Rhinolophus ferrumequinum: one gene and its partner. The protein of the gene in region 1 purifies or fractionates together with the protein of each later gene. This does not show direct contact. Links are inferred from orthologs where the notes say so. Each region holds a gene or a part of one and is shown in the gene's direction. Other genes may lie near its edges. The genes, in order: MRPS27 and NOA1.

What was found.
Region 2: the proteins of MRPS27 (region 1) and NOA1 purify together in Homo sapiens (co-immunoprecipitation; 3 studies listed by BioGRID and IntAct, counting the BioPlex papers as one, with this or other methods). This does not show direct contact. The link is inferred for Rhinolophus ferrumequinum from reciprocal best matches to the Homo sapiens genes MRPS27 and NOA1.

What each region holds. Positions count from the first base shown.
Region 1 is NC_046290.1:45,657,440-45,667,169, reverse strand, and holds the start of MRPS27 (28S ribosomal protein S27, mitochondrial), read left to right. Parts: upstream 1-6,216; 5' UTR 6,217-6,218; coding exon of another isoform or gene 6,219-6,250; coding exon 6,251-6,323; intron 6,324-9,730. UniProt on the Homo sapiens protein: RNA-binding component of the mitochondrial small ribosomal subunit (mt-SSU) that plays a role in mitochondrial protein synthesis. Stimulates mitochondrial mRNA translation of subunit components of the mitochondrial electron transport chain.
Region 2 is NC_046288.1:18,687,637-18,697,286, reverse strand, and holds the start of NOA1 (nitric oxide-associated protein 1), read left to right. Parts: upstream 1-5,217; 5' UTR 5,218-5,292; coding exon 5,293-6,442; intron 6,443-7,319; coding exon 7,320-7,484; intron 7,485-8,117; coding exon 8,118-8,323; intron 8,324-9,650. Other genes in the region: POLR2B (DNA-directed RNA polymerase II subunit RPB2), read right to left, coding at 4,496-4,514. UniProt on the Homo sapiens protein: Involved in regulation of mitochondrial protein translation and respiration. Plays a role in mitochondria-mediated cell death. May act as a scaffolding protein or stabilizer of respiratory chain supercomplexes. Binds GTP.

The sequences.
Region 1 (9,730 bases):
GCTCTGACTTTAAAAAACAGAACACTTTTAAACCTACTGAAGAAAGTCACAGTAGTCTATGAATAGTCTATCCTAAACATATATACGGCCAAACAGAATGATGATGTGTACTTAAAGACACATCTGAAATTCCAATTACAAAAGTTATATCAAAACATAAAGTTGTCACATCTTCAATGTATGTAAAGAATTATCTGTATTTCTTGGGGCATGAATTATCAGTTTGTCAATCATAGCTCAATAAAGCAAGACAATATAGTGCAGTGAATAGGATTTTTAGACTCTGATTCCAAAGTGACAGTTCAAATCCCAGACCTTCTATTTATTAACCGTGTAACCATGAGCAAATTAATTAACCACTCCTTGCTTCAGGTTCCTCATCTGTAAAATGGAGACAGGAAGAGAACTCAACTCAGAGTTTTTCTGGGGATTAAATGAAATAACATGCCATTGCATTCTGGTGTGGTTTGTTACGCAGCAAGAGACAACTGAAACAGCAGGATTTATGATACCTTTCTTCTTTCTACTTTTTTGGTGTTTTTCAAATTTTCAATGAATTTTGTGTAATTTTGTTTTTTCTCTTCTTTTTGAAAAGAACATCAATTTTTTCACATTATAAAATTGATAATGTCCACTATACACAGGTTGGAGAAATAAAAAAAGTACACACTTAGACAAATAAAAAATATACAATGTGTAATTCCCAGAGAACCATGGTTAACTTTTGGTATATATTCTTCTAGTATTCTATATATTAATACCTTGTATTTCTCTCTATAAGTATGCAATATAAATGCAGGTCTGTGTATAGAAATATGTATTTAAAGAATGGTAAAAAGAAGCAACTGACTTAATTTCAGAAATGCAGCCTATTGATTTGCTCCCGAGTAAGCGGAACCTTTGCTGGGTCTCACCTAACAGCTGACTGATTTCATGTGAGTTCCTTCTGACATAGGAAATTCTAGTAATGGATCAGAGACAATGCAACATAACAGACATAAGCTTGGAGGAGGAAGACTAGTTAGGAGTCCAAGTGAGAGACGTCGAGACCTGAACTAAGACACTGAGAAATGGGGACAGAGGTCTACTGGGGCAGAAGAAGCAGTCGGATTTCTTACCCTGTCAGGGAGAGCATATGAGACTAGGAGAAAGAAAGAGGTTCCTCCGTATCCATCCTGAGTGACTGGTCAGTACAACAGGAAACAGAGAGAGAAAGAAATTTATATAAGTTGAATGTGAAGACCTAGGGGACATATAAGTGGAGTCAGTAAACAGGCTGGGGCATGAATTTCTTGGGGCATGAATCATCTGTTTTTCTATCCTCAGCACTTGGCATGTAATAGGAACCCAATAAGTGTTTGCTAAATGAATGAATTTAAATGTCTGGAGCTCAGGACAGGCATCTGAATGACAGATTTGGAAATCATCAGTGTATAGGTGATGGCTGAAATCTTGGAAGTAGATGAGACTGCTCAGGAAAAGGAACAAAGTGAGAAGAGACAAAGGCTGACAGAATTCTAAGGAAATGCCTCACCTGTAAATGACATTTTTAACCAGTTCCACATCATCCCGGGACTCACACAAATGAAGCACGGTTCTCAATTCCTCCTTCAAGATGAGCTTGTTCTGGGTCAATTTCTCTTCCAACTTTCTCAAATAGGTTTCTGGAAGAAAGCACGGGGTGGTGGACATCGCTAAGGCTGACCGGACTGTCAGAGTCTGGCCTCAGGGCGAAGGGGAAGCCAGAACTCGGCATGTTGCAAAGGGGCCTATGCAGCCTCCCATCCCAGGCTGGTCTCCTCGAGAGCAGTGTCAGAGACGGTGCATAAAGCAAAGCGTGTGTGTCACAGGGGCACAAGCCCAGGCCCCACTCCTGACTTTCTAACCAGAATCTCTGAGGATAGGAGCGCAAGAATATGCATTTGTGACTACCTGGGTGATCCTCATGCACACTGAAGTTTAAGAACTAATATCCAAGAGTTTTAGCCCAAAGAACTGTATTTACAGGTGACCCACGAGGGGAGGAAAAAAAGAAAGAAAATGTAACTGAGATATCCAAACTATCAATTATCAGGGCATCTAGGTGGAAAACGGAAAGAAAAATGTGAGCTGACGATACTTTTACCCATAGTGGTTGACACACGATTCAGGAATACTGCGGGTCTCTTTCATTTGGTTCAACTTTACCTCTCATTCCTCTTTGTGCCTCTCTACTCAGTTGTTAGAAAGCACGCCATAGGATTACATAATGCATAGAGTGTAAAAAAAAAAAAAACAATGGAGTATTATGCAGCCATAAAGAAGAAAGAAATCTTACCATTTGCAACAACATGGATGGATCTAGAGAACATTATGTTAAGTGAAATAAGTCAGACAGAGAAAGATAAGTACCATATGATCTCACTTATTTGCGGATTCTAAAGAAAAGAATAAGTGAATGAACTAATCAGAAACAGTTTTGGAGACAATGAGGAAAAACTGAGGGTTGCTAGATGGGCGGGAGGGGTGGGGGGTGAGGGGGAGGGTGAGGGGATTGGAGGGCAGTCGGTGACCACAGGATGGCCACGGGTTTGAAAATTAATCTGGGGAACGTAATTTGGTGGTTACCAGAAGGTAAAGGGGTTGGGGGTGGGGGATGAGGGTGAGGGGGATCAAATGTATGGTGATGGAAGGGGAGCTGACTCTGGGTGGTGAACACACAGTGTGATTTATGGATGATGTGATACAGAATTGCACAACTGAAATCTATGTAATTCTACTAACAATTGTCACCCCAATAAATTAAAAAAAAAAAAAAAAAGGTCAGAAAAAAAAAAAAAGGTCCCTTTTTAATAAGAATCATTTCAAGGTGATCATAATCTGCCTCTGTCCCTTGTCTTGCACCTGATCAACCAGCGTGGGGACGGGGAGAACAGTCACACACCAAAAGGAAAGCACTGTTTCTTGGCATTCGGAAGGGACTGTACTCTCCCCAGAATGTGGGGTGAGATGCAAGGCAGGCACGAAGTAAGCAGCTGCTTTCCAGAAGGCAAGGCTGTTCTCAGTATCAGAAGCTGCCAAAAACAAAATTTACAGGATTTGCTCCAAGGCCCGGAGCTTTGAAGGAATGCTGTTTAAAGGAGTGGCACGATATACATTAAAAACATAAGATCTGGAAGCTGAAACAGACACTGCCCTTGATTTATGAGAAAAGAAAGCCCACTAGGTTGGTTGTGAGATAATGTAGTGGGTCCTCCAATCTTGATTTGGTTAAAGGTTAAAGGTTTTAGAGATAGAAGGACCTGGGCTGAAATCTAGGCTCTGCCACCTGCATGCAGACTCTTGTCATTGAGACCTGATTCCCATGTGTGAAGTGAGGATCATGACACCTACCTCATGGGGTTGAGATAATGTATGTAAAGCATTTAGCACAGGGCCTAGCAAAGAGTAACTGCCAGTAAATCACAGACATTATTGTTCTCATTTTTTTTATTCCTTCAATCACTCTTAGATTTAAGAGGATTTATTCTATTAAATATTGCTAAATAATTTCCAACATAAAAAATTTCAGTAGGATGACTTTACATCTTGTACTTCTTAATTCTTCTTAATAAACCTTAAGAACCCCAAATTTCAACAACTGTAATTTGTATTTTAATAAATCAATCAAGATTTAAGTGCTTATCATATATGCATACACAGAGGTATGGCTCCCGCCCTGGAAGGGCAAATTCTATTCAAGAAGACAAGATATATTCATACAAAGTTATCTGACAATGGTGGTGACGCATGACTGATTATAAATGTAATAGGAGAGAAGAGAGAAATCAGGGTGGCAGGAACAGACCTGGTTTGGGGGAGTGGAGATGTTACCAGAGAGGAAGGAAACGGCGGGATAGGGTTGGAGAAACTGAGGAGAGGGGGCATTTTAGGTATGGGAATTAGCACGAGTAACAGCATAAACTTGGGGTGGGGGGAGGTGGAGAGGGGAGAACTGTGACTAGATTAATAGGAAATCACACGGGACTTCAGAAAGGGTCAAGTCAATTATGGAAGAGCTAGGAAACCAGGGGGTGAGTTAGTACATGTAGTATATAGCCCAGTACCCTTTTGGAGGCTTATAATATGAAATGGTGACTGGATTTTATAAGTGTCAATCTGACAGTGGAGTAGATTGGCACTCATATGAATTGCCTCAGGACATATGCACAACTGTCACCGCCTTAAAAAGACTATGACCGTTGGAAATAACAACCAGATAGACATGGAGGCCTAATTTTGCAAACTTTGCATATCTCCAAAAGACTGAAGTAAAATTTAAACTGGGTCTGCTAAATAGGAGATGAATATATTCTCCCTCACTCCTAAGGCGTAGCTTCTTGTACCACAGGTGGTATTATGTAACAGTATGTTTAGCAGAGAAGTGAGGGGAGACTGATTTCTGAAGGCAGGACTGTGAGTGAAGAGAAGCAAGTGTTAATTAGATGCTTTAAACACTTGACAGTGAGAAGCAGGACAGCGGAAAAAGTCAGCAGGGACACACAAAAAGAGTTATTAAAAGAGCAGAATTTTGCTGTGTTTATAAAGAAGTCGAAGTATTGGGAAAAACTCAATGTGCAGGAGAGAAGGAATGAATTTACCTTTGGTGCCAGGAAGACTATGTGCAATAGCCACCTTCTTATGCTGAAATTCTTTTAATTTCATAATGTTATCTGTAAGTAGATATCTTTTAGCTAAAAATTAGAGAAAGAAAAAGAGTAAAATTATTTTGTTTTATATTTAGCAAATAACATGAGTAGAGCTTCATAGCTTCTAATAACTAATTTTATCTTCACTTAGTATAAGTAATCCACCTAGGCAGATACAAATATAAGTCACCCTAGAGGGAAAAACATCTCCAAACTAACAAAGAATACAAGTCTCAGCAAGACAAGTTTTGTTTGTGTGTGTGAAAGGAGCTAGTGGTTGTGTGTGAGGATGGGTTGACAGGAATCTGGGATCTGAAAGACAAATAGACATTCACCATCTGGTTAAGGGATAACAAGGGAATTTAAAAACAAACCAACTAAAGGTCATCGATTAAGTGCAAAACAAGTATATCTAGTTTACCTACAAAGAATCGCATCGTGTAGTGGAAAAACTATAGTGTGACCATTGGAATTCCCAGTTCTGTCATTTTTGAAATGAAGTGTTGTGGCCTCTCAGATGTGGACTCTCAGTATCTTCAAAGATCACATCAGAAATCACTGCCAACTTAGCAGAAAAGATGTGTTTGGAAAACATCATCATTTCTTTAGGATGCTCGGCTGTGCAAGGAGTGGATGGAGCTTGGCCAAAGGATCACCCATTAAAAGAGCTCTGGGTACTGCAATAACAAGGTAACAACAAAAGTTGCTGCTTATTTGTGAAAAGGCAGTCCAGAGAAGTGGTTACATCTGGACTCTTCTGTGTGGCTGCCTGTGTTCAAATCCCAACCCTACCAGTTCCCTCGGACCTTGGGCAGATTAGTTCGACTTGCTGTTCCCTCCTATATAAATGGAGAAAAGAATGGTACCTCTATTACTGGGTCTTGTGAGAAGGAATGAGTGTATGTAAAATGCACTGATACAAAGTATTAAATATTTTATTATCACTCACCAGGATTTTCAAATTAAATCATTTTCATGAAGATATTAAGGGAAAATTTTACAAATCAAGAAACCTGCTCCAAGCCTTTCAGATTGTTAGCTAACACCTCGGCTCCCAATCTCAGTACAACCAAGAGGGAAGAGGGGTTTCCGGAGAGCAACGTAGCCCCATCCGAGGGAGTGCTACGGCCCCAAGGTCAAGACCCCAGCCCGGCTGTCCTATGGTTCCCAGGCACACCGGCGTCCACGACAGCCAGGAGCCACCGCTGCAGCCATGCACAGCCAGACGGCGAGGGCACGCTCAGCTGCCCCAGGCCCGTAAATAACTGAGGCGCTGTTATTTCTCCAAAGTGATGTGCGCTGAGGTGAGGCCCCTTCTGTCCCATCCCTCCCCTCCTTCACGGCCCGAGGCCGCGGATACCTCCGACAGGGCAGCGGCAGCAGGGGGAGCCTGAGCCTCCCACCCCAGGATACACCAAACTCCGCAGCGCATGCAGCAGGGCTTGCTTCGGGGGCCGAAAAGCAGCTGCCATGCCGTCCCGGGCCGCACCAACTGCCGGAACCGGGAGGGGGGAGGAGCGTCGGCTCGACTGGGCCCCGCCCTCAACAGCCCCGGACCGGCTTTCTCCTTGGTATGCTCCAAGATGGCGGCCCCCATGGTGCGATGCGGGATCCTCCTGGCGCGGAAAGTACTTCTGCCTCAGCATTCCCTGGCAGGTTGGTGGCTGCTGCCTTCATGGGGCTGCTTCTTTAGGTCCCTGAGAACTAGGTTCCTTGAGTGAAGGGAGAGGTGGGCTTTCAAGAGGAGAAGAAATGCTTCTGGAATCTAGTTGCTGGAGAAATGATTTGGAGTATTTGGTAGCCCAGAAAGGGGAGGTAGGGTCTCTGACCCATTTCCTTCGGTAAAATAATGTGTCTGCCCATCCAAAGATGGAAACAGCAGAAAAAGTCAAGGCATGAACGCTTTTGCCTATGATTTGCTGAGTTTGTGCGTTATGGGTGATTGTCTTTTTGCGGACCGTGAAAAGTCCGAGTATGTCCACCCCTGGGGCTATGCATTTTCCTCTCTGCTGAGGTTTCCTTGGAGCGGCGTTATAAACCACCTCACACCTGGCCAGACCCCTAGTCTTCAGTTGGTGGAAGCATTTTTCAGTATACTGATCTTACTGTTCCTGATGACATTGGGCACAAGTTTTGATTGACCTTTCTTTGCTACAGTTTTCCATGTATAGACAATAAATGCTAATATAGTTACTTCTAAAAAGTACTTTGATACCTGAGTGAATGGCAGCCCACTCAAAACCTATTTGTTTAATGGATCTGCTGCTAAAGACATTGGAAATCTTTTTAACATTTCCAGAAGCTTAATCCTGACAAGTTATATGATTAAAATGCAATAATTACAATCCATGTTTCCAATGCCTATCATCTCCTCTTTTCTACTTACCTCCTCGAGCCCCTATAAAAAAGTAACACACACACTCTCTGGCTCACACTTTTTTAGGAACAGCAATTAAATATTAACGTGAAACCTCAGATTTGGCCACCAGAAGTTTTCTGAGGATTAAACTGGTTGACCAAACTGGTTGACCTACCTGGTGAAAATATTTAATGCCACACATTAGGTAAAGTGGTGTATGCTCAATACCTGGCACGTCAGTAAGAATTAACTGTTGTAGCTGTTTACAGCTATGTGTAGTTATGGTTGTTAGTGAATGCTTTTCAATTTAAACAAGACCTTAGATTGTTTGTCAGGGAGGGTATCTTGGTTGCTTAGAATGTTTGGGGGCAATCATTCTAACAAGGGAATGGAAATTAGATAAGGGGGAATTGAGAGAATTTCCAGTTAGTATTTTGGTCTTAGTTTGAACTGGTGAACTTGTAGGTTATACACCTGTGCTACCCCCATTGTGGTAACTACTAGCTACATATGGCTAATTAAATTACTTAAAATTAAATAAAATTTAAAATTCTGTTTCTTAGTTGTACTAGCTACATTTTAAGAGCTCAGTAGACACCTGTGACTAGTAGCTACTGTATTTATTGGACAGCTCATGATTGAGCATTTCCATCATTACAGAAAGTTATATTGAGCAAGCACTGGGTTAGACCATAGATGAAAGGAGTTTTGAAATCAGGAATTAGAGGCTATACGGCAAATAATATAAGTAAGTAGGATAGTACATTATGAACCACTCGGGGTTTTGAAAATGCTGATAATAACTTGACTTTAAATCATCAAAACATCTTGAACCATTGCAGGATAAGAGAGAAAAAATTGTCTACTTTGTACAAACTCATGATATATCAATATTTGGAACACTTTGGTGCTACCATTGACTCTCCTTACTTCATAATGAAGAAGGGCAACTTAACATGAGCAAGAGGATACAAGGAAACTTTATTGAGTTGAACCAAAAAGTGACTTCACTATATGAAGAGACTAGAGAAAGGAAACTTACTGGGCACCTACTATATAGGGGATGTTAGGTTAGGCACTCACGAGGTTTGATCAAAAGATACAATGAATGTATAAATAAATAAAAAATTTATTACAGTAAAAGACACATTGTCATTAATCCCCCACAAAATACTCCCCCTCACTTCGAACACACAGTCCATCGTTCTTGCCCCTTTCTGAAGCAGTTCTGGAAGTCCTCTTTCATGAGTGTTTTTAGTTGTACTGAAATTCTGGTTTTAATTCTTTTCAGAATTAAATGGAGAAAATGTTTCTTTGTATAGCAGATATTTGAGATAGAGCATATGGTTGCCTCAAAAACTGCCTGGATGAAGGGTAAGAAGGTTACCAAATTAGCATAAATGTGGTGGCTTAAAACAACACAGATTTATTATCTTAGCTCTCTGTAGGCCAAAAGACCAATACAGGGCCTACTGTGCTAAAATCAAGGTGTTGAAAGGGATGTGATCCCTTTGAGAATCTCTAAGGGAGAACCTGTTTCCTCGGCTTTTCCATTTTTTAGAGACCACCTACACTCCTTGGTTGATGGACCCCTTTCTCAAACATCTTCAAAGTGAGCAAGGGCAAATCAAGTTCTTACATCACTCTGTCTTGCACATATCACACTAACCAACCTGACTCCCTCTTCCAGCCATCACCACAATCAGTTTAGGACATTTTCACCACCTCAAGAACAAACCTATTTAACAGTTACTCTCCAATTTCCCCCTAGCTTTCCTGACTCCCTACCCTCCAAATCTAGGCAACCACTAATATGCTGTCTGTCTCTATAGATTTGCCTACTGTGGTCTTTACATTTAAAGAGAATTATATAATATGTGATCTTTTGTAACTGGCCTCTTTTTCACTTAGCATAATGTTTTAGAGATCCGCCCATGTCATATCACATATATGTACTTCATTTCATTTTACTGTCAAATAATATTCCATTGTAAGAATATACCACATTTTGTTTATTCATCAGTTGATGGGTATATGCATTGTTTCCATTTTTGAGCTATTATGAATAATATTGCTATGATCATTTGTATATAAATTTCTGTGTGGATACGTGATTTCATTTCTCTTGGGTATTTACCTAGGAGAGGAATTGCTGGGTTATATGGCAACTCCAATGTTAATATTTTGAGGAACTGCCAAACTTTTCCAAAATGGCTGCACTATTTTACAGTTTCACCTGCAATGCGTGGGGGTTCCATATCAATGGCTAGTATCTCTCTTTTTTATTATAGTCCGAGTGGGTACAGAGTAGCATTTCAATGTATTTTGCATTTCCCTAATGGCAAATGATACTAAGTATCTTTCCATGTACTTGTTGGCCATTTGTGTGTATGTGCATATGTTTGTGTGTATGTATATGTCTTTTTGAGAAATATTTGTTCAAATCATTTGCCAATTTTTCAGTTGATTGCTCCTCTTTTTAAATTTTCACTAATAAGAGTTATTTATGTATTCTGGTTACAAGTCCCTTATCATATAAATGATTTGCAAATATTTTCTCCCATTCTGTGAGTGGTCCTTTTACTTTCTGGATAGAGTCCTTTGACACTTGAAGCACAAAGGTTTAATTTTGAGTAAGTTGCCACTCATTGTCTCTCATGCATTCCTTAAGCTCATAATTATTGAATATTGCCATACGCCCGTC
Region 2 (9,650 bases), on another chromosome or scaffold:
ATCTTCTCCAGAAAATCCATGTAATTCTCATGAATAGCGAATTATAATGATAACTAGGAGCAAGCTCCCAGTTCTCTGCTCAATAAGCTCCTCAGAGTCTGGAGTCAGAAATTAGGGTAAGGCGTAGAGACAGAAAAAGGTTCATACAGCTAAGCAATACCTTAAAGTGGGTGGTCCATTACAGTACAATTTCATACATGTATAGGTACGACAGACTGTATTTTCCAAAGATGGCCAAACCGTATTTTCCATTTCACAAGCTTTTTTAGTGTGATCTGGACATTCTTACCATCAAGATATAGGGCTCTATGTTTCCTCCCTTTGAATCTAGATGGGTTTTTGATCCTCCCATAACTAACGGAACGCAGCTAAAGAGACGTTACGTGACTTTTTGCTGTTGTTCTTACGTGACTTTTTGTTGTTAGGTCCCGAAAGGCAATGTTGTTCTACTTTGTTTGCTGAAACACGTGCTTCTGGAGCCCCAAACTGCCATTAAGAAGTGTTACTCCTCTAAGACTGGTGAGGAAGCCCAAAGCACGTGGAGAGGCCACTTACAGATGTTCCAGTCCAATCCTCGTCCTTGAGTTCTCCGAGGCTACGTGCCAGGCACGTTAGGGAACACTCCAGATCACCCAGTGCCCAGTTAGCAACACTGAGCCGTTGAGTCTGCCCAGCTGAACTACTGACATGGAGCAGACAAGTCATTCCTACTATGCTCTGTCCAAATTCCTGATCACTTAAATCCATTAAAATAGGAATTTTTAGGCAGCCAAATTCTGGGGCAGTTATGCAGCAACAGTTTGAACAATGGGCATTTGAAAAATCAGCGCACACTGAACCTCTAATATTAGTCTCATCTCCTAATGTAAAAGAATAAGTGTGCTGTATTTGATTTGCTTTTATATTCTGACCTATATATAGTCTATAAAACTTAACAGTTTTGGATTCAAAATCTGTTACATACCCAAAATAAATTATTTAATAAATGTTTCTTGAATAGCCTGGAATTATTGATCCCTACACATGGGGGAGGGGTAAGAAAGACAAAAGTATCTAAAATAGCTCAGAGATATCTAGCTTTGATGACAGATTAAGAGGTTAATATCCCAGCCACACAGGAAAAGCAAGTAAGAAGGTAGGAAAAGGAAAGAAATGAGGTCAGCTTTAGGTATATTTACAGAACATTTATCCCTTTAAATACTTACAGTAGGCAACTGGATATAAATATAAAACTCAAACAAGGCGTCTAAATTACAAAAAGAGTTGAGAATCCTTACCATGTGGTTGGTAAATACGAAAAGTTTACAGAGAAGGAAAACTGAAGGCAAGATATTAGAGAACACCCCTATTAAAGTCATGTGAAAGAAAATGAACCCATGAAGGTTGTTACTCATTTATTCATTCATCCATTTTAAAATATTTATTGAATGTGTTTACTACGTCCCAGGCATTGGCGACACCATCTTCAACAAGATAAAAGACGGCTGCATCCTCAAGGAGATTATCACCAAATGGGGAGACACAGACAAGATGAAGTCAATTAAGAGTATGAACAGTGACATGGAGTCTTAACCAGGACCTGAGGGTAGGGAAGACTTCCCAAAAGCTAAGCTAAGCAGAGATCTCGTGTATGAATAAATAAGACTAAATCAGGCAAAAGGAGGGGTTGAGAATGGGAGGGGTAGAGAAGTATTCAAAAAAAAAGACAGAAAAAGTATTCCAGAAAAAAACAACCTGTGCAAAAGACTCCACAATAAAAGATATTCAAGGAGTGAAAGAAGGCCAATGTAGCTGAAGCACAGAGCGTGCAGCTGGGAGTAGTAAAAGAGCTTGGTCTTTACCAATAGAGCTTTGCGGAACCAGTCTAAGATTTTAGCAAGGCTGTAGCTAGATCAGATTTTCATTTCTGAAAAATCACTATGGCCACAGAGTGGAGAGTGGATTGAGAGGCAAGAAAACCTTAAGTACACACACCACTTAGGAGTCTGGAGAAATAAGCTGGGCAAGGAGACAAAGTAGTGACTAGATCTGACATGTTTAGGAGATAGAACCCCCAGGGCTTGATGACTCACTAGGTATAGGGGTGAAGAAGAAGAATCAAGAATCATGCCCTGGATTCTGATTTCAACAACAGAGGAGGGTGATACCATTCACTGAGATGGAGAACACAAAAGGAAGCAGCTTTGGAAGGGGGATGAGGAAAGGAAAATGACCAATTTGAATAATGACAAGTTTGAAGGGCCTGAGAGACATCCATGTGAAACTGTCTAGTGGCAGTTAGACATACAAAACATCTGGACTGGAAATATATTTTCAGAAGTCGTTCACATAAAATGGTAAATGAAGCCATGGAGAATGGATGAAATCATCCAGGAAGAATGTGAACAGAAAAGGATAAAAAGGAAAGTCACAACATAGGTAAGAGCCATTAAGTCAGAGTGATCTGGCAAAAGAAAGGAGTTCCAGAAGGAAGTCATCAACAATATTGAATACCACTGGGTCTGGATAAAGTTTAAAAATGCCCACCTGATTTACCAACTGAGAAGTCACTGATATTCTTATTAAAAGCTGTTTTAATGTAGTGGCATGAGCAGAATTAGATTGCAGTGCGTTGAGGAGAACCTGAAAGGTGGGGGTTGAATCAAGGACAGCCTATTCTTTTTAGAAGCTTGCTGTGAAATGTGGAAAGCTTTGCCTTCCAAAGGCAAAATATTGGGAAAAAAGGAAACAATAAAGAGTTTAACTTATTTTCTTATGGACAAAAGAGATCTAATAATTCACATAGAAAGAAGCCAACTGAAAAGGAGTGTCTGAAAACTGACAAATCTAATAAAAGATACAAAGGACACAGGCAGGAATGTAAACTCAAAGCTGAAGAAGACTTTTATCAAGAGGATGACTTGTAACTCTTTTTTCCACAGAATTATTTATTAACATGGCGAATGAGAGGATAAAGCACAACAATCACTATCATGGTCACTTGGCACCATCTGGTCACTTAGCAAAATGTTAAACATGTATATCATTTGACCTGACATTTCTACATCTAGAAATTATCCTACAGACATACTTGTACTAAACAAAAAAAAGTACAAGATTATTAATTCCAGCACTGTTTGAACCACGGGAAGAAAAAGGGGAAATAACCCAAATGTCCATCAATAAGACACTAAAGTTATGGCATATCCATTCAAACTACGTAGCATTGGGGGGGGGGGAAATGAGAATGCTCTCTATGGATATGAAAATCTCCCAGGTAGATAAATACACACACACACACACACACACACATATACACACATAGACATATATATATATATATATATATATATATATATATATATATATATATAAAACGTAAAAAATAAAAAACACAGAAAAGTGTAAATGTTCCTATGGGTGGGTGGTGGCAACAGAATCCCACTTATTTCCTTGAATGTACATAAAACACTATGGAGTGATAATCTAAGACAAGTGGGTACCTACTATGAAGGGGGTTCACACTGGGAGATGGTGGGCAAGAAAAGAGACCTGACACTAACATTTTTGTATTTTCTGGCTTATGAGACACAGAAATACATTACCTAATCAAAAAATTAAATTAAGAAAAATTTTTTGAATTTCTTTTCCACTCAGAGAGGCGTTAAGGGAATATAGTAATGCTAATACATTTCTAGACTCAAGATGTAATTGACACAGAGTAATTTAAACAGCAGAGTTTAAGCTTTTGTTTTTCTAGTTTCTCCTTGAAGTAGCTGAGGTAATAAGAAATGTGAAGGGTGGCTACGGGCTGGGAGCTAGAAGTAAATGAAGTTTGAAATAGTAGCTGTGGAGAATGGAAAGGGGAGCTTTAAAAATACATAATGAAAATACAGGAGACATGACTAATTCGGCACGTGAAAAGATATATTGGCCCTGTTCAGTAGAACACGTACCATCTAAGAACTATGTTATTTTGTGGGAAAAGGAAATTTAAATGTCCTCTTTTCAGACAATTGCCTTAGATGTATGACAGCATTGAAGGAATGCCAAACTAGACCAACCCCGTCCAACCACACACTGTATTTTTTGTCCCCGGTGTATTTCCAAAGACTAACACAAAGCCTGGCCCAGGTTGACGCTCATAAATTCAATAAATCCACTAATTCTGGCCTTAAGGAAAATGAAAAAAGGAACCCTTCACTGCACACAAAGTCAAAACAACGGAATTTATGTTAGGGTTCTGCACGCTATTCCAATACAGGAAGGAGGTATGATTTATCCAGCAGACAATGGAAGGAACAAGTGCCACTCAGACCGGGAATATTAATGCTACATTCCCTGCACCCTCCACCTCTCGTAATCCCGGCTTCGTCCCCGGCCTGGGGTATGCAGGGAACATGACTGTGGACACTTGTGCAACGGGCTAGGAGGAAGGCCAATCCTCAATTCGTCCAGCTCCCCACGTTTCCCTACTTAGATGGGTCGCCGGGGAGTGTTCTGAGCGGTCACCTACCCTCGTCCGCGTCATACATGTTTGCAAACGGTTCCCGAACTCTAAGCTCTTGAAATCACAGACAGAACGGTGCGCACCAACGACCAGCACCAGGAGCCTGAGACAAAGTAATTTCCGCCGACGGCGTTCCCAGAATACTCTGCGTCTTCCGCCAAAGGCCACCCACAAAGAAGCCAACGTAAGATCTGCGCCTGCGCATATGGTAGGCTAAAGTGGACAAGGGTTAGAATTGCGCACGCGCAAACTGCAGGCCTACGGGTCCGGTGGCTGATTGCGCACACCACTCCTACAGTCTGAAGATCGGTTCCAGCCAATGAAAAGTTTTTGGTCGTTTTTCAATATTGCACAAATAATGACACCTGAAAAAAAGAAATAAGAGACTTAATTAGTAAAAAGTGTTCATTGTGGCCGTCAGCGTATGGCATTCGACGTTGTACTTTTTGCACTTTTAAAGCCGAAAAACAGTGCTTTTTAAAACGTGGCTTATTAAAGGCGGGTTATGCCATTGGTGGCGCATTGAAGAAGGCTGAAAGTGACCAAACCCTCACAAGCTTCTTCTGCCCAACCGGCACACTCTAGGTCTCCGTCCGGTACCTTTGCCACATCTTTGAGCGGGCTCTTAAGCCTTGGGGCTTTCATCGCGAGAATTTACGAGATTAGATGCGGGAGGAGGAGCCGAAAAGTGCCTGACAGTTTTCAGGTAGTTCCGGGCTTAATCTCGGGTTTAATATGCCACATGGGCCCCAGTACGCGTGCGCACAAGTGGCTCCGCCCCTTGGTACAGGGCCGGGTTCCCCATGCTACCTGCACTCCTAACCCGTAGACTGCTGTGCCCCTTGCTGCGGGGTTCGGTTCCCACCGTAGCGTGCCATGGCCTCTGGGATCCGCTCCTCAAGAGAAGATGCGCGGCCGCCCCCTCCTCCCAGCACCTGTCGGGCCTGGGACGTGAGCTTCCTGGTGGCCCGACGGCGACTGGGGGTTACGAAGGCAGGGATGACATGGAGGAGCGTTTTCTGTTCCCCGAGTACGTCCCGGAGCCGGAGCCCGCACCGACCCTAGAAGAGCAGCTGCGCGAGCTGCAGCAGCGGCAGGAGGAGGAGGAGCGACAGAAGCAACAGCGGCAGGAGGAGCGGCGGCTGCAGAAGTTACGGACCAGCCGCCGGGTGCACCCGGTCGTGGGGCACCCGGACCCGACGGTGCCGCGGAGCGGCCTGAATTGCTCGGGCTGCGGGGCGGAGCTGCATTGCCAGGACCCTGCCGTGCCCGGCTACCTGCCCAGTGAGAAGTTTCTTAGCGCGGCAGCGCAGGCCGACGGCGGGCTGGCGCGGACCGTGTGCCAGCGCTGCTGGCTGCTGGTGCATCACCGGCGCGCCCTGCGCCTGCAGGTGAGCCGCGAGCAATACCTGGAGTTGGTGAGCGCCGCTCTGCGGCGGCCCGGACCCGCCCTGGTGCTGTACATGGTGGACCTGCTCGATCTGCCCGACGCCCTGCTGCCCGACTTGCCCGCGCTGGTAGGCCCCAAGCAGCTGATCGTGCTGGGAAACAAGGTGGACCTGCTTCCCCAGGACGCTCCCGGCTACCTACAGCGGCTCCGGGAGCGGCTGTGGGACGACTGTGCCCGCGCCGGGCTCCTGCGGCTCCCTGGCCACTTAGGGCCACAGCACCCCGGCGGGGACGGGCCACCGGACGGGCAGAAGAATTGGAACGCTTCCACCGGGTCCCGCACCGTGCTCAGGGACGTGCGGCTCATCAGCGCCAAGACTGGCTATGGAGTGGAAGAATTGATCTCTGCGCTTCAGCGCTCCTGGCGCTACCGCGGCGACGTCTACCTGGTTGGCGCCACCAACGCTGGCAAGTCCACTCTCTTCAACACGCTCCTGGAGTCGGATTACTGCATCGCCAAGGGCGCTGAGGCAATCGACAGAGCTACCATCTCCCCTTGGCCTGGTGAGCCTTAGGATGCCTGCCCCTTAAAGCCACCAGGGAGTGTCTGGATCCTTCCCTGTAAAAATTCTCTCCCTACTTTGGTCACACCTCTCTTCTGTGTCAGCTTAGTGCTTGAAAAGTTAGTATATGTCATAGTAACTTCCTGATAGAAATATTTGTGTTTCTATCATAGTAACTTCCTGATAGAAATATTTACTTCTATCTTTCGGTCACTGTTCTAGGCACTGGAGATAAACCAGAGAACAAAGCAAAGTTCCTGCTTTCTTGGAGGTTTCTCTTGTGGCTTTACTTTGTATGTTTCCCAGAAAAACCCTTTGACTTTCTAAACCTCCCTTTACCCCTCAATCTTACTCTTCATATCTTGAGTTCATGATATCAGTTTGCCACACATGTTTAACATTTAAATAGTTCACTAATGCAATATGATGTATGGCTTTAGAAGACGTCAATTTTGTGGCTTCAGGGAACTTCTGTGACTGGGAAATGGGTCCATCTATGACCCTGTTTGTATTTAATAGTTGGCAAAATTAATGGCATTATTTGTTCCTTTGAAACCAGTGTTTGATTTTGCTTGGTAAGCTGTTCTTTGCTGTCCTAAACTATGAATTATACACAGAAGTACTTTTATATAGTATGGTGAAGATGGAAAGAAATCAGGCCTGCGGGTTTGGGATTCACCTCCAGGTTGAGCCTGTGAGCCATTCTCTGAATCTATTTCCTCATCTGTAAAGTAAGAATAATTTTGTAGAGGGTTGTCATGAAGGTTAAGTGAAATAAATTACAGTGCCCAAGACAGTGTTGCTCCTTGAAAATATTAGCTTTCCTCCCTTTATTCCCTTGTGCAATGTTTATAAAAATGTATTCTTTGATATTTCAGGTACTACATTAAACCTTCTGAAGTTTCCTATTTGCAACCCAACTCCTTACAGAATGTTTGAAAGGCAAAAAAGGCTAAAAAAAAATGCAAATGAAGTTGAAGAAGATCTTAGTCAGCTAGAACAAAATCAACTTACTCTCCTGAAAAAGCATGGTTATGTAGTAGGTAAGCATCTTCTAGAGGAAAACTCTTGGTGGATCTATGCTCAAATTCTTTGTTGAGCAACCTGAAATACAGCTGTCTGAGGCTAGCCAGTTTTTGCTGGGAGAGACTACTTTTCTCGTTCTGGAATATAGAGGCCCTTTAGAGGCAAGGTGGATGTTTGGAAAGCCAGAGTTCACTGTGCTAAGAAAACTGAGACAGTAGATACTTGGAGAAATGCTGGAAAGGAATCATGAAGCAACTGCCCACCTAGCCATTGTCAGCAGAAGAATTTCCACAAAGATGTAGCCTCGCTCCTTGAAGACCAGTACAGGTTGTTGACTCCATGCAGCAGCTCTAAATTAGATGGTCCCCCTTTCATTGGTTATCTCTTTTCAACCTTCATTTACAAATGCAGTTTGACTTCCACCAGTTCTCACCACCCACCTCCCTCTGATATACACAGCCAGCCACACACTTGATGATCACAAGAGTCTGACTCCCACTGACTTAGAAAGAAAAAAGCAAAGCTATCATTGTAGTCTCACTTACATACCCCATATTAGTCTTCGTAACTTGAGTTGAACATGAGAATTACCTGTCTGGAGTCAAAGGCTTTAAAGGAGTGGCTAATAACTTCAATATAACTTATTCTAGGACGAGTTGGAAGAACATTCTTGTATTCAGAAGAACAGAAGGATGAAGCTGCCTTTGAGTTTGATGCTGATTCACTTGCCTTTGACATGGAAAATGAACCTGTGATGGTTGCAGATAAGTCCACCAAACGAGTAGAACTGACCCCACAAGATGTGAAAGATGCCCACTGGTTTTATGACACCCCTGGAATTACAAAAGAAAATTGTGTATGTATTTGATGTTTTTTAGAAACTTTAGATTAACCTTCAATTGTATGAGTACCGTCTTAATTGACAGAACACAGGAAAGGAGGTATACTTTCCTTATAGACTCAGTTCTGATTCATTCATAGCAACAGTTCAGGAATGAATCTGTATGCCATCAAGTTCTGTATTCCATTTGGTGGGCTTCACTGCTGACACCCTACTTACAGTATTGTGGTTGTTACCTTAGTTAGCAAGACATTTACAGAAGCGTAGATTTTGAGGTTGGAAGAAATCATAAATATCACTGCAGTCCGGCCACCTAGTCCATGCTTGAATCCCCTCTATAACATAGCCATCAAGAGGGCGTCCAGCTTGACCTGAAGTGAGGAGTGACTCACTATCAGCTGAAGCAGTGTCACCTTGCCTCCCAAGGTAACCTATTTGATCTCTGACCTGCTCTTTTTGTGGAGCTGAACAGTCTCCCTGTAACGTATGCCCATTGTTCCTCAAGGTGTATGAAATGCATGCCTGTTTCCCTTGCCAGACTTTGAGGTATTTTAAAGTATGATGTCCTGTCTTTTCCTCACTCTCCCATTTTCTTCTCTTTCATTGGCTCATCCAACTTCCTGAGTACTTCCTGTGCTGACAATCCTGATTCTTTGTCATTATTTCCTACCTATAGACATTATTTCCTCCTCTGAGACAGGCTGTTCATCCATCCAGGCACGTTTTCAGAATGGTTTCTAACTTGTTTTTGTCTGACACTAAGAACTGAATTTCTTGTATAAGTGCCCTCAGATGAGCATAACTGAGAATAGTATTATATATCTTTTTAATCCATGGCAGGATCTCCTGGACACTTTTGATTGTATGGTGTGAAGCTCAGCCTATATCCTACAAACTCAGTAAATGTCACTTTTTATTCATTTGCAGTTTTGATCATCAAATCATTGACGGACTCAAGTGTGCATCTAGGATACAACCTTACCACAGATCTGTAATCAGTTTCCTTTGAATCTGGTTACTGACTAGTTTCTAATTTGCCTAATTATCTCTGTATCTCACCTGTGAAACAACATTGGTTTCTTAGGTACTTTTCCTTCCTTGCCTCATCAGGATCACAGTTTCATTCTCAGAATTGTATTCCATTTGGTGACTCATATCAGAATCATATGGCTCTTTTAATTTTTTTTCCCTCCTAGCATAATTGCCTATGTCCAGTTTTTTCTTCTTTGCAATCCATAACTTCAGAGTAACTGGAGTGCTTTCTAATAATGTTCTGTCACTTTAACTTCAACTCATTTTTCGCTTTTGGACTCAGGTCAGGAATAGCACTTACTTCAGTCAT